4 separate regions of the Mus musculus genome follow, and regions 2, 3 and 4 are each reported to be linked to region 1. Evidence: microRNA targets listed by miRTarBase, many of them from high-throughput screens and not tested one by one. Region 1 holds a microRNA gene; each other region holds the end of a gene's coding sequence.
Evidence for each region. Region 1 holds the annotated microRNA mmu-miR-15a-5p (UAGCAGCACAUAAUGGUUUGUG, at 871-892, shown strand). A microRNA usually pairs through its seed, bases 2 to 8, with sites in the 3' UTR of a target mRNA and lowers its output. Matches are read on the target gene's strand: a 7mer-m8 pairs with bases 2 to 8, a 7mer-A1 pairs with bases 2 to 7 and ends in A, and an 8mer does both.

Region 2: miRTarBase lists Them6 as a target of mmu-miR-15a-5p. Seed matches in the 3' UTR shown: 7mer-A1 at 1,376-1,382.
Region 3: the mRNA of Slc35e2 is a reported target of mmu-miR-15a-5p. The part of its 3' UTR that is shown has no 7-base or 8-base seed match.
Region 4: miRTarBase lists Amer1 as a target of mmu-miR-15a-5p. Seed matches in the 3' UTR shown: 7mer-m8 at 808-814.

The regions. Positions count from the first base shown.
Region 1 is chr14:61,629,851-61,632,966 of GRCm38, reverse strand. Mir15a (microRNA 15a) reads left to right here and starts at 857; the gene lies at 857-940. It overlaps Dleu2 (deleted in lymphocytic leukemia, 2), which reads left to right. Exons shown (of 7, transcript NR_028264.1): 4 at 484-530. It overlaps Mir16-1 (microRNA 16-1), which reads left to right and starts at 995; the gene lies at 995-1,087.
Region 2 is chr15:74,722,912-74,726,027 of GRCm38, forward strand. Them6 (thioesterase superfamily member 6) reads left to right here. Exons shown (of 2, transcript NM_198607.1): 2 at 549-1,462. The coding sequence ends at 659. Among named protein-coding and RNA genes, the nearest start is that of Them6, 3.2 kb to the left of the region's middle.
Region 3 is chr4:155,618,591-155,621,706 of GRCm38, reverse strand. Slc35e2 (solute carrier family 35, member E2) reads right to left here. Exons shown (of 9, transcript NM_177186.4): 9 at 1-3,116. The coding sequence ends at 2,958. The region is part of intron 1 of Gm16023 (predicted gene 16023); the gene reads left to right. Among named protein-coding and RNA genes, the nearest start is that of Gm16023, 4.6 kb to the left of the region's middle.
Region 4 is chrX:95,422,611-95,425,726 of GRCm38, reverse strand. It overlaps Amer1 (APC membrane recruitment 1), which reads left to right. Exons shown (of 2, transcript NM_175179.4): 2 at 1-3,116. The coding sequence ends at 615. Among named protein-coding and RNA genes, the nearest start is that of Amer1, 21 kb to the left of the region's middle.

The DNA.
Region 1 (3,116 bases):
TTCTTTGTGAAGGGATGGCTAAGTCCCCCACTAAACAGAAAAGAGTCTTCTTAATAGTGTAAGAAAACCTAGATATTCACACACACATAAAATGAAGTTGGAACTTAACGTAGTAAAAATTTTGTTTCAGCTAAGTCAAAGTCCTGTGGTATAAAATGATACTCCTTTAAAGGACTAGCCTTTTTAACTGGGAAACACACAAATGGTTACTTAGGCTTGAGCTACAGGATTTCTGATATATCCTTTTAGGAAACCAAATAGACCTGTTATCCTAAGATGATGTTCTGGGTAATAATAAATGACACTGAACTCACAATAACTATTCCAATATTGAGATAAATCTTGTGTTCATGTGTAGATTGGGGGTTATATATTTTTGGGGAATATGTTTCATGTGTATGTCTTCTAAATATTTTGCTAGTATAAATTTCTTGAAACTGAGCTCTTACATGTTTGTTCTTACATGTTTCCTTTAACATGAAGCTTTGTCCTATGGATTTGGCTTTGAAAGATGTGCTGCTCTTAATAAGGTAAAAACCAACTTTTGTAGCTATTTCATGTGTTAAGCACATTCAAAAGTTGTTAGTTTAATAAATGAGGTTCTTAAGTTGGTATGGGAAAATGACTTGCTTTTCTCGTTTCATGACTACAATAAATTACAGCACTGTATTAAGTTTTCTGTACGCTTTTATTAAACTTATGATATGGAAATACTTTTTATTCTGCTGAAAGCCTATAAAATTATGCACATACCAGTGTTAGATTTTTTTCAAACATAGATTTTATGTGTTCTACTTTTTCCTAAAAAGCCTTTTCTGTAAATTACTATTGAGGTGCTAGGAGTTTTCAAAACCAACCCTTGGAGTAAAGTAGCAGCACATAATGGTTTGTGGATGTTGAAAAGGTGCAGGCCATACTGTGCTGCCTCAAAATACAAGGACCTGATCTTCTGAAGAGAGTACCTGTCTTTTTATTCATAGCTCCTATGATAGCAATGTCAGCGGTGCCTTAGCAGCACGTAAATATTGGCGTTAAGATTCTGAAATTACCTCCAGTATTGACTGTGCTGCTGAAGTAAGGTTGGCAATACTCTACAACTGTAATTCAATGTGTATTGATGTTACTTGTGTGTTTACACGGTTTTTCTAATTGCATTAGTGATTTTATGTTTGGTATGATTCTGTAATGATGTTAGTAACAACGCTCTACATATTGTGTCTGTTAAAATACTATATAATTGTGGGATGGTAATGCAGCTCAGTTGGCCAAGTGCTTCTTGCTAGCATGCACAAGGCCATGGGTTTTAGCCTTACCACTGCATACCAGGTACACTTGTAATCCTAGATCTGAGGAAGTGGAAAAAAGAGAATTAGAGGCTTAACATCATCCTTGGCCATAAAGCAAGTCTAAGACCTATGTAAGGATCTGTCTTTTAAAAACAAACAAAACATAATGACTTCTGTGTGAGGAACTGATTATAGGACTTCTAGATACCCAGATTTGTAAATGCTTGGATCTCCTGTATAAAATGTCTGCTCGTGACCAGTGCATATCCTCCCTTATACTTATTTAAACTTATCTCTACATTGTTTTTAATGTGTAGTGCAGTGGGATGTTAACATGGATAGTTGTATTATTCAAGTTATTCTCTTAATGATGAGAAAAAAACTGTACAATTCAGTACTAATGCAGTTTTTGTCCAAGAAATAAGTTTTTTGGTTTGGTCTTTTGAGCCTGGGTCTCACCATGTAGACCAGGCTGCCATGAAACTCACTGAGATCCTCTTGCCTCCGCCTCCCAAATTCTTTGTTTAAAACTGTAGGCCCCAATGCCTGGCCACCCAAATGTTTTGAATGTGTGGTTGGTTGGATCCACAGATGGAGCACTGACTAATAATATAACAAGTATTTTTAAGTCTTGAACACCTTTCCAGAGTTTCTTGAGAGCTACAGTGGTACAGAATATACCCAGTACCACCAAGGCTCGAGCTCTCTTTCCAGCATTTCCATATAAAAGTTTATTTGAAAGAGTTTAGGAAGTACCAAATTGTACATGAATTTAAACTCATATTATTACTTATAATAGAAAAATACTTTTCTCTTGATTTGAAGTTTTCTTTAGATACAGATAAAGTTTGAAATGCTACAGATTATAACATAATCTTGAGTATAATGTGCCTAAATATTTCATTTTAAATGAAGGAGAATAACACTAAAATGTGTACGTTGAATTTTTAAACTTAAATTTAGAAGAATCCTTAGAATAGCTGACCTTTTTATTGGTTAACTGAGGAAACAATCTGAAATTTAATTTGCAACCTATGACATATTAGGGTATAAATCCTATATCTTCTAACTTAATAATTACTGTTTTTCTTATTTTTCACTAAAATGTTTAACAGGAGATTTTTATAAGTCAAAAGTATGAAAGACATCTCATCTGTGCCTTAATATTTAACTTCAGATTAAAGCTAACAGTCATTAATTTTATAAATATATTCAGAATATTTTAATTATTTCAAAGGAAATGTTCTTTTTTTTTTTTTTTTTTTTTAAAGATTTATTTATTGATTATATGTAAGTACACTGTAGCTGTCTTCAGACATTCTAGAAGAGGGAGTCAGATCTCGTTACGGATGGTTGTGAGCCACCATGTGGTTGCTGGGAATTGAACTCCGGACCTTCGGAAGAGCAGTCGGGTGCTCTTACCCACTGAGCCATCTCACCAGCCCGGAAATGTTCTTTTAACTATCCCATGTGCTTTATTTTAAATGTTTTACGTCATTATTTTAAAATGTTCAAGAAAACACATTATCTCACAATAATGTCCTCTAACTCTGTCATTACTTTTTACAAGGAGTCTCTTACCTTTTCAGATTAAAGGTTCATAATTAATTCTACCGTGTGTTGTGGAGATCCTAAAAGTATTTCAGTTATTTTTTAAGGAATTGTCCTCAAAAGAACCACTACTCAATTCTAATTTAAAGGTAAAATTAAGTAAGTTTTAACAAGTTGATTTAATTAACTATAGACTCCGTTTTTGGAGCATTTTTTCTGTGTATGAGTACACTGTAGCTATATTGATGGTTGTGAGCCATCATGTGGTTGCTGGGAATT
Region 2 (3,116 bases), not on the chromosome of region 1:
AGTAAAGTGTGCCCAGATAGAGCCTAGACTATAGGTCAGTCATTCCTGGCTGCCGTGTAGCACTTGCTGTGAGAAGAGAGCACCTTATCGAGCCTCTTCCCTCACCCTCAGTCCTCAGAACCTATCTGCAAGGACTCCGGGGCAGCAGCTTTGTCAGGTAGTCTCCTGCAGGAGCACCTCCCCACATCCTGCTCTTCTCTAGGCAGCTGGTGGTGGTCAGTCACCCAGCCAACCTCATAGGCTTTTGCCTGATTCTGGGGACAGACACTTGAAGCGTGGTCCCGCTGGTGAGGGCCTGGCAGAAGTAGATGGGCTAGAAAGAGCTAGGAAGGAGAAAATAGGTTAGAAGGGCTTGGGAGAGCACTGGGTCAGATGTCATTAATTTGGGTGTGGTTCCTGCAAGGTCACAGAGTAGGGGATGCGATAAAGCAGGAGGTCCAGAGGCAGAAGGGCAGCAGCCTGGCTGCTTGCCCCTTTTCTGTGCCTTCTGCTTAGCGCTCACAGTGGCACCGGGCTCTCTGAAACCTCAACTTCCTGTCTCCCTGCAGGTGGAGCCCCCTGAGCTGCCAGAAGACTTGAAACATTGGATCTCCTACAATGAGACCAGCAGCCAGCTGCTCCGTGCTGAGAGCGGCCTCAGTGACAGAAAGGACCAGTGACTGCCACATCTGCATCCTCCCTGCCCCGCCTGTCAGCCAGTCCGTTCCATGGGAATGGGCTGCCTGGGGTGGGTGCACTCCTAACCAGAATGGCCTCAGACAAGCCTGGCTTCTTTTACCCGCTTGACACTCCCCTGTGCTTGCCTCATTTTTGGGCAGCTGGTGGGGTGGATGTTGTTGTCCTGGCCCGGCTCTGCCTCCTGGGTCCCCATAGCGAGACTGTTCTAGTGTGCCCAGATGCACAGGGTCCTGGAGCACAAGGGCCAGCAGAACCCAAAGTCAGGGCTGCTTGTGGCCAAGCAGGCCAGAGTAGTCATGGGTGTGGCTGGGGCCTGCAGCTTACTCAGGGACAGTGGGCCATCTGGAGGGTCACCTCATAGCAGGGAAGCAAGACCAGAACCAACCCAAGGGCCCCCGAGAACACAGAAGGGCAAGTGGGTGCTGGTCATTGGCTAAGATTCTGGTGATACCCACCACTCTTAAGAGGATATACCCTGTTCTAGGCTGGTCGCCATGACGTCTGGGGCTCCATGACTATGCCTAGCACCTGTCCTGTCAGCTCAGGGAGAGGCCAGCTGCTTGAAGCTAGGAACGGCCTCCTTGCTCCCTCTCTGGGAACCACACCTGGAGCCAGAGCCCAAAGCTTCAGTGATGCCCTGCACCCCCCCCCCCCGCACCCTCCTCACCCCCATCCCCACCCCCACCTCCACCTCCACGCTGCTATGCTTGCCTTAGTGCTGTCAAGGGGAAAGCTGCAACCCGTTTTATTTAAAGAAAGCACAAGATTAAAAGAGTTCTCAAGGCGCGTGTGCCGGGGAGGTTCTCCTTTTCGCAGCCCTGCCACCCCGGCACAGACCGACCAGCTCCCTGGATGTGTCTTCTGGAGGAACATGGATTGACATAGTGTGCCCAGGCTTGTGGGCGCCTCTGCACTTAGGGCTAAGCCTGATGAGTCATGGGATTGAGGCCAAGAGTGAGCAGCTGGCTAGAGCCCCAGCTGGCCTTCCTACCATGGTCCCCCTCCTTGTCCACCCGCCACCTGGAGCCTATGAACCTTGCCACCCAAGTCACGTGCACCTGGCCTGTCTTTTCTGTTGCCTTCCTTAGAGTCCCAGGAGGGCCCTAGGAAAGTGGGGTTCAGGCAACATGGGGCTCTTTGTCCCCTTTGTGGCCAGGGAGACTGAGGTCCCGTGGACTTGGAGCAGATGTTTTATGGGGGTGGGGGAGATCTGTGCTCTACCCAGCACCAGTCCATAGGTCTGAGGGCCTGGGTGGGGGAAGGGGTCAGGGGGTGAGGGCACTCAGATTCGGTCAAGGGTGGAGAAGTTGCACAGTTAGCCAATAGTGTGCAGCTGGGAAGACCTGTCCCATACCTCTGCCCTTCCTACCTCCTACCTAACCCTTGCCCTAAACCATAGGCACATGGGTAGGTACTCAGTGTCTTACTTTCAGGGCCTTTGGAAAAGGGTTTTTCCTTTTCAGGGTTTAGTAGAGCAGCAGGCTAGAAATGGGCAGTATTAAAGGGCCAGGGGTAATCTGGAGGGTGGGGGTCCTTAGGAGGCTTGGGTGGCTCATAGCAGGTGTTGAGTGCTGCCAGACAGTCCCACTGGGACTCCAGATAGAAAGTGGTGGGAGCAAGGTGGAGCTTCTGGGTCTGACTGAGCATCTGCCTCCAGACCTGGAGGAGTACACTGCCTGGACATAGAATTCCCTGCTTAATAATCTAGATGTGTACGTAAGGTCAACCACGGGGCAAGGGCTTTTGCGGTTCTCTGTTGGCACTGGGGACCAGGTAGCTGAGCCTTGCTTATTGCTCTTATGGGCCAGCCCCTCAGGTGCCAAGCCACAGCTCTCCTGCCTCCCCATGGACTCGGGCCAGGCGTGACTGGGTTCTCACTGAGTCCCACCTCTTTGTCTCTGAAGAGGCCGGAGACAGTACCCCAGCTGCTCCACTAGGGGGTGATAGCTGTTTGGTCTCTACAGTGAACCAGTAGCCCTGGCCTCTTGCCTCCAAATCCTGAGTTCAACGAGGCTCTCTGAAATTCACAGTGCAGGGGAATGGCCCCGAGAGGGGACCTTTGAGTATAGAATTGGCCCTAGATGTGGTCCTAGCTGGTGAGGCTTAGAGGGCCAGGTTGGCAGCACAGGGGGTTGTGGGGAAGAGGTGCTTCACACACCTCTCAGGGATCCTGAGGTATCCTGCACCATCCTTGTCACTCCCCCCCTACCCTTGCAGTCTGTTGGGCAACCCGCTAGCAATCCTGATTGCCAGTGGGACTCAGGGCCATGGCCTCCTAACTGGGAGAATCCAGGAAGTGCTCCGTGATACTGCGTTAGTGCCTAGGGCCATTAAGGCCCCACAGCTGCCACACACCTCACAGAGGGAAGAACACTGTGGAAGGGACAGCGGGGAAACTACACTGGGAAAGGGAAACAGTGGCCAAAGGGCAAAGGCTC
Region 3 (3,116 bases), not on the chromosome of region 1:
AGCTGGTAAGATGGCTGATCTTCAAGACGACCCGAATTCAATTCCCAGGAGCAACATGGCAGCTCATAATTATCTGTAACTCCAATTTCAGGGGATCCAACACCCTCATAAAGACACACATGCAGGCAAAACAATGAATTAAAAAAATACTTTCCGGCCGGGCAGTGGTGGCGCACGCCTTTAATCCCAGCACTTGGGAGGCAGAGACAGGCGGATTTCTGAGTTCGAGGCCAGCCTGGTCTACAAAGTGAGTTCCAGGACAGCCAGGACTATACAGAGAAACCCTGTCTTGAAAAACCAAAAAAAAAAAAAAAAAACCAACCAAACAAAAAAAAAACAAAAAAACCCAAAAAACAAAAACGTTTCCTTGTCTTTTAGTATTAGAAGTTTTGGGGTTATTTTTGTTGTCTCCCCTTTATCTTTCTGTCCCACATCTGCTGCTGGTGATCAACCCAAGAGCTTCACAATACATGCCAGTGATGTGCCACTAAGGTATACCCCAAATCATGGACGTTTTTAAATTTTATTTATCTATTTATCTGGTTTTTCAAGACAGGCTTTTCTCTGTGTTGCCCTGGCTGTCCTGGAACTTGTTCTGTAGTCCAGACTGCCCTCAAACTCAGAGATCCACATGCCTCTGATTCCCAAGTGCTGGGATTAAAGGCTTGCACCACCTCCCCTAGCAAATGTACTTATTTTTAAGATATATGTGTGTGTGTATATGTGTGTGTGTTCATACACAAGCCAGTGTGCAGATGCCCAGAGAAGCCAGAGGCATTAGAATCCCTAATGCTGAAGTTATAGGAAGTTGGTGAAACACTCTACATGAGTTCTGGGAACTGAACTTGGGTCCTCAGCAAGAAACATAACCACTCGGCCATCTCTGTAGCTCCTAGAACTATTTTTGAAATTAGAAATGTGTATATCTTTTAACTATGCGTGCAGTGAGTAAGCAGCTAGCTGGCTCAGAAGGTCAATCCAGTGTTCTGTTTACAACAGACCAGACAATGACATAAACTCAGGAGGAATTATCCAGGACAAGGAATGACACGTGGTGTCAATATTTGTACATTTACATCAGTAACAATTCATGAAGAACATAGTATTCTATGAAAGTACTAACAAAGTCAATTAAAAATGTATTGTTATGGTATAGTCATAACAAATGGTCAAGCAGGGCCGTTCCACGATTCTCAACCCAGCCCTGTCCTGGAAGACCTGAAGGAAGCAGCTGATTCCATGATCTTTCCACCTATGAGGAAAAGTCTCAAAGCAGCTTTAGAGAAAATTGCTTTAAGAAAAATCTTTGTTTTTGTTTCTAGCCCAAACCTTAAGAAAATCAAAACAAGCTGAGTCTTGTGACATGGGGGAGGGATGGCCAGAGCAAGTCACAATAGGTCATTTCCTAATTAAACATAGGACACAGGCAGAAATTCCAAATAATAGTAAGAAGCCAGGCATGTAGAGCTCTGAGCATACTTAGACAGGTCTGCGGGAAGGCCAGAAGAGCTCTGCCAACCAATACCCACAAGCACGTGCTCTTCGGTGTCAGCAGCTCCACAGCCAGATCTTGAGCAGACAGGTCTACACAGATTAATCCAACGTCTGCCATCTGTCCTCCACTGGATCTTTATTTTGAGAAGAGCAAAGAGGAAGGAACTAGAAACCTGGGCAAAGTCAAATGAGAGAACATCTTCACAATATCTTTACATAGCATAGTAAAGATACACCTAGCTGATGTCCAGCACACATCAGCTTCTTTTAAAAGTTGGCTTATGGATTAAAAGGCCTCATTTTGATCCATCATCATGGCAGATGGCTTTTTCAAGTAAATAAAATGTAGACATAATTATTGCTCTTTTTCACCCCATTATCTTTTTGAACCACCATGTGCACGAAAGACTTAGAGCAGGGAGGACCAGTGAGACCTGGACAAGGAGTGCCAGTGGCTGCAGCTTGTAAGTAATGGAGTCTTAGAGACTGGCTAGCAACAGACTGCACCCCACACACAACTCACAAAATGCCGAATAATGTAGAACCTCAGCGTGTTAACCCAAGGCCCACTGTTGTCCTCCACTCCACCTTAAGCTCTGGAGACCTGGTGGCTCAGGCAGTCATCATATGATCCCTGGTGAAGAGTTAGTTGTGCATGTACACTTTGATGTACCTTACATGGAGACACAGAGAAACCTCGACAGGCACCTGCTACATCAAAAAGAAGTGTCCCTTTAACTACAGCATAGCCTATAAACACTCAAATGCTCGTCAGAACGTCCCTATCAAGCATCCTGAAGGGAAATCTTCATAGGGCAGCCACTGTGCCATTCAGAATCGCCCGCTTCACATTCACATACTTAAAATGGAAAAGCACTCCAGACCATCTGCTTGAATTAGAGATTTGCTGCCAACTTCCCAGAATGGGCAATCACAAAATGGTAGCAGAAACATGGGACAACAACCCTGGAGCAGGGTAGTTCAATGTAGCACAGGCCAAGGAGGAGACACTTCTCCTTCACACAGCACTGTCTCTCCGTGGCAGGAGAAACTTGTCTCTTCTGCCTGCTACTCTGGGTTTTATGGCTCCATGCTAGAGTCATTGGCATCTGGAATGTCTGTTTCATAGACTGTCAAGAACCAAGAGGCTTCCATGGTGGTGGTGGTGGTGGTGGTGGTGGTGATAGAAAAGTTTAGGTCTCCTGGATGGCATCAAACAGACAGCAACTCGGGTTGATCCTGGAGCCTGTGCTTATTCCACAGTGCAGGCTGGGCACGGAGACACTGGTTCACTTGCAGCCAGGGAAGCTGTAGATCATTTGGTCCTGTGGTGCTCTGCCAGGCAGAAGCTGAGTCCCAAATTCCCCATCTGATTTCCAGGAAGGAGCGAGAGACCTGCCCTGCATCATTTCCCTCTAGTACAGAAGGAACATCTAGGCCTGGATCTACACAGCATCAGGTGATCAGTGGTGCTGTCTAGAGTCCTGGGGAACAAGGGGCTCTGTGTCATCTTCTGGGTTTCGGCTGGTGGCTGTGACCAGACTCTGCATAGTCTCCTGCTGATACTGCCTGGCCTTGTTGTAGAGCAAGACACCCAATGTGACAAGGATGGTGCCAATGGC
Region 4 (3,116 bases), not on the chromosome of region 1:
CAGGAAGATTCAGATGAAGAAGGTGAAGAAGAGGAAGGAGAATGGGGTCGGGATAGTCCCTTGTCTCTCTACACTGAACCTCCAGGGGTCTATGACTGGCCTCCCTGGGCTCACTGTCCTCTTCCAGTGGGGCCAGGTCTTGCTTGGATGAGCCCTAATCAGTTGTATGAGCCTTTCAATCAGTCTTCCTATGTGCAGGCAACCTGTTGTGTACCTCCTGTGGCAATGCCAGTGTCAGTGCCAGGAAGAACACCTGGAGACTCTGTGTCTCAGCTAGCTCGACCTTCGCACCTACCCCTGCCCATGGGCCCTTGCTATAACCTTCAATCACAGGCCTCCCAGAGTGGGAGGGCCAAGCCTCGGGATGTACTGCTGCCTGTAGATGAGCCCAGTTGCTCTTCCATTTCTGGAGCCAACTCTCAGTCTCAAGCCAAGCCTGTAGGTATCACCCATGGTATCCCTCAGCTGCCCAGGGTGCGGCCTGAACCCTTCCAGCTTCAACCCAATCACTATCGAGCTTCCAACCTTGACCTGTCAAAGGAGAGGGGTGAGCAAGGTGCCTCTCTCTCTACCAGCTACTCCTCTACTGCCATGAATGGAAACCTAGCCAAGTAGTTATCAATTCCAGAATGGAGACCTGAGCATGTGAATTGGGGGTCAAGGGTTGGGCAGAGGGGTAGGGGTGAGTAGTGCTGTTCCACTTGAAAATCTTATTGGCTAAGATAAACTCCTCTGAGTTTTCACTTTGCCCACCTTCCTCTGCCATCTTTGGCCAGGTTCAGCTCAATTATATCTGCCTAGGGAGGCTGCTGCTTCTGTGCTCCAATTTTTGCTTTGGAGTTTCTTGTGACCTATACAGGGCTTGGGATGCATCCTTATTGCAGGCTGAACCCCTCTTCTCTGGTCCCTTGCTGACTAATGAACCACTGATGAGCAGCCAATTTTTTGCACTGACTCTCACCCAGAGATGGGAGGCTTGCTAGCTATTAGCAATATAAAGTTATGGTACATAGCCTTCCTAACCCCATTCCTTTCTAGCACATCAAATGACTATAACCTATTTATCCCAGTTAGTTATGTTTAGAGTGGGTCAAGTAGCATGTGTCTCGCTCCCTGTTGCTGTGGACTTTGGTATCACAACTAGATGATGTCCTTTTAACCTGGCCTGCCATAGTCTAGATTGAAGACAAAAACACTAATCCTCATAAGGGGGTGATTAAATCTGTCCATATTCAAGCAGAATACAAAGATAGATAGCTTATGGAAAATGCTGTGAGGTCTTGAGCTGTGGAATAATAATATATCTATCTTGTTTGTTTCCTAAGCCTGTGGCTGTTGCAGGCATTTTAGAACTTCCCCCTTTTCCTGTCCCTGAAAAATTTCATCTCATCACAATGAATGTAGTATCTTAACTGAGTTAAAGGAAGAGAAGCCACCTAAATTGGGCTTGACTATATAGAGCATTGGGTGTTGTGAGATGCAAAAGAGGAAAACAGACAGGGTGATCCATTTATCTAAACACCAAGAAGGGATCTCAGACTTTGGAACTTGAAGCAACTCAGATTAGGAGGGAAAACTTTTCCCATCCTTTCTCCCAAACCAAAAGTAAATAAATAAATAAACCCTTGGCCGCCCCTTTGTAAAGTGGTTCCAAGCTTGTCTAAGACAGGATGCCAAAGGCATCTCACCTGTTGTAGGCACACTAAAAAGCTTTTATCTTCCAGTTAGCCAAGTTCTTAGCATTTTCAAAGGACCAGGCTTCTTGAGAGGAAAGATTGTAATGTACCCTTGCTCTGCCAAACTACAGGGCTGATTTGCATGGCAGTTGCAGTCCTTTCTGAAATGAACAGCACCCTCTCTTCTCTTGCATCCATGCAGGTTTCTTTTTCTTTTTTCTATATTTTTTTTCTGGACAAGGTCCCACACTGTAGTTCTCTCTAGCCTGGAACTTACCATGTAGACCACGATGGCTTCTAACTAACAGAGATCCACCTGCCTCTGCCTCCAAGCAAGCCCAGCCTAAATGTTGGAAACACTAGGGAAGAGCTTGGTGTCAGGAAAACATTGCAACAGGCTCATCTTGACCAGGTTCAACATTTCCTTAATCATCTATATGAAACAGTTTCTTTAAAATTCTCCATCAGGCCCGGTGTGGAGGTATGTGCCTTTTATCTCAACACTCAGAAGGAAGAGGCAATTGGAGTTATATGAGTGTGAGACCAGCCTGTTCTACATAGTGAGTTCTAGGCCACTAGGGCTACATAGCAAGATAGACCTTGTTTTAAATTTTTTTCTGTATTGGAATATGAAATATTTTGGGGATCGATATGTTGATCAAAGTTAGAACTTTTTAAATCTTCTGCCCATGTCCCTCTTCTCACCTCAAAGCCATCTTCACATCTACTAAGTGAAGATATCAATAGGGCTCTTGCTCAAAATAAGGCAATTTACCTTGAGAACAGATGCTGGTGGCCTTCTGAGTCAAGATTGCTTTGTAGACATACTTTCTTTGCCAGGGCATATATTCATAATATTTTTCACAGTTTCTAAGCTTGGGATTGGCCCTGTGCCTTTCCCCCAAAAGAGCAGATTTGATTGGTAAAATCTAACCCCTTGTAAGTAACTTCATAACTTTGCATGGCACCAGCACTAGAACCACCCCTCAAGGACCTCAGATCAGCTCTCTTGGATGACTTTGGCTACATCACGAAGAAGTGCATCTCTTGTGGATCTGGATAATGAAAGTGAAAAAGGCCTTCCTTACCCCAACCACATCGTCATAAGAGACACATGCCCAGATTTTAACCACTTGGCCTCCTACCAAAGCTGTTCTGGGAAGGTGAGGCTGAACTTAGCCTGGTTGGGTGGCAGGAAGTAAGCACTCAATGCCTTTACAACAGGAAAAGCCACACCTCTTGCCTAGTCAAGGTAGCTTGAGTTGCTGTTTACATGTCGCTGCCATCTACAGCAGGCACTAGAGCTGTCCACAGCCTCCATAGCCCACTGGAGAAGGGCTACCAGCCTGTTTGGAAGAGGAAGAAGGAATCTACCCTCACAGTTCAGGAGGACAGCACAGTGCAATATCTCTGAAGGGACCTGCTATAACTTGGATATAT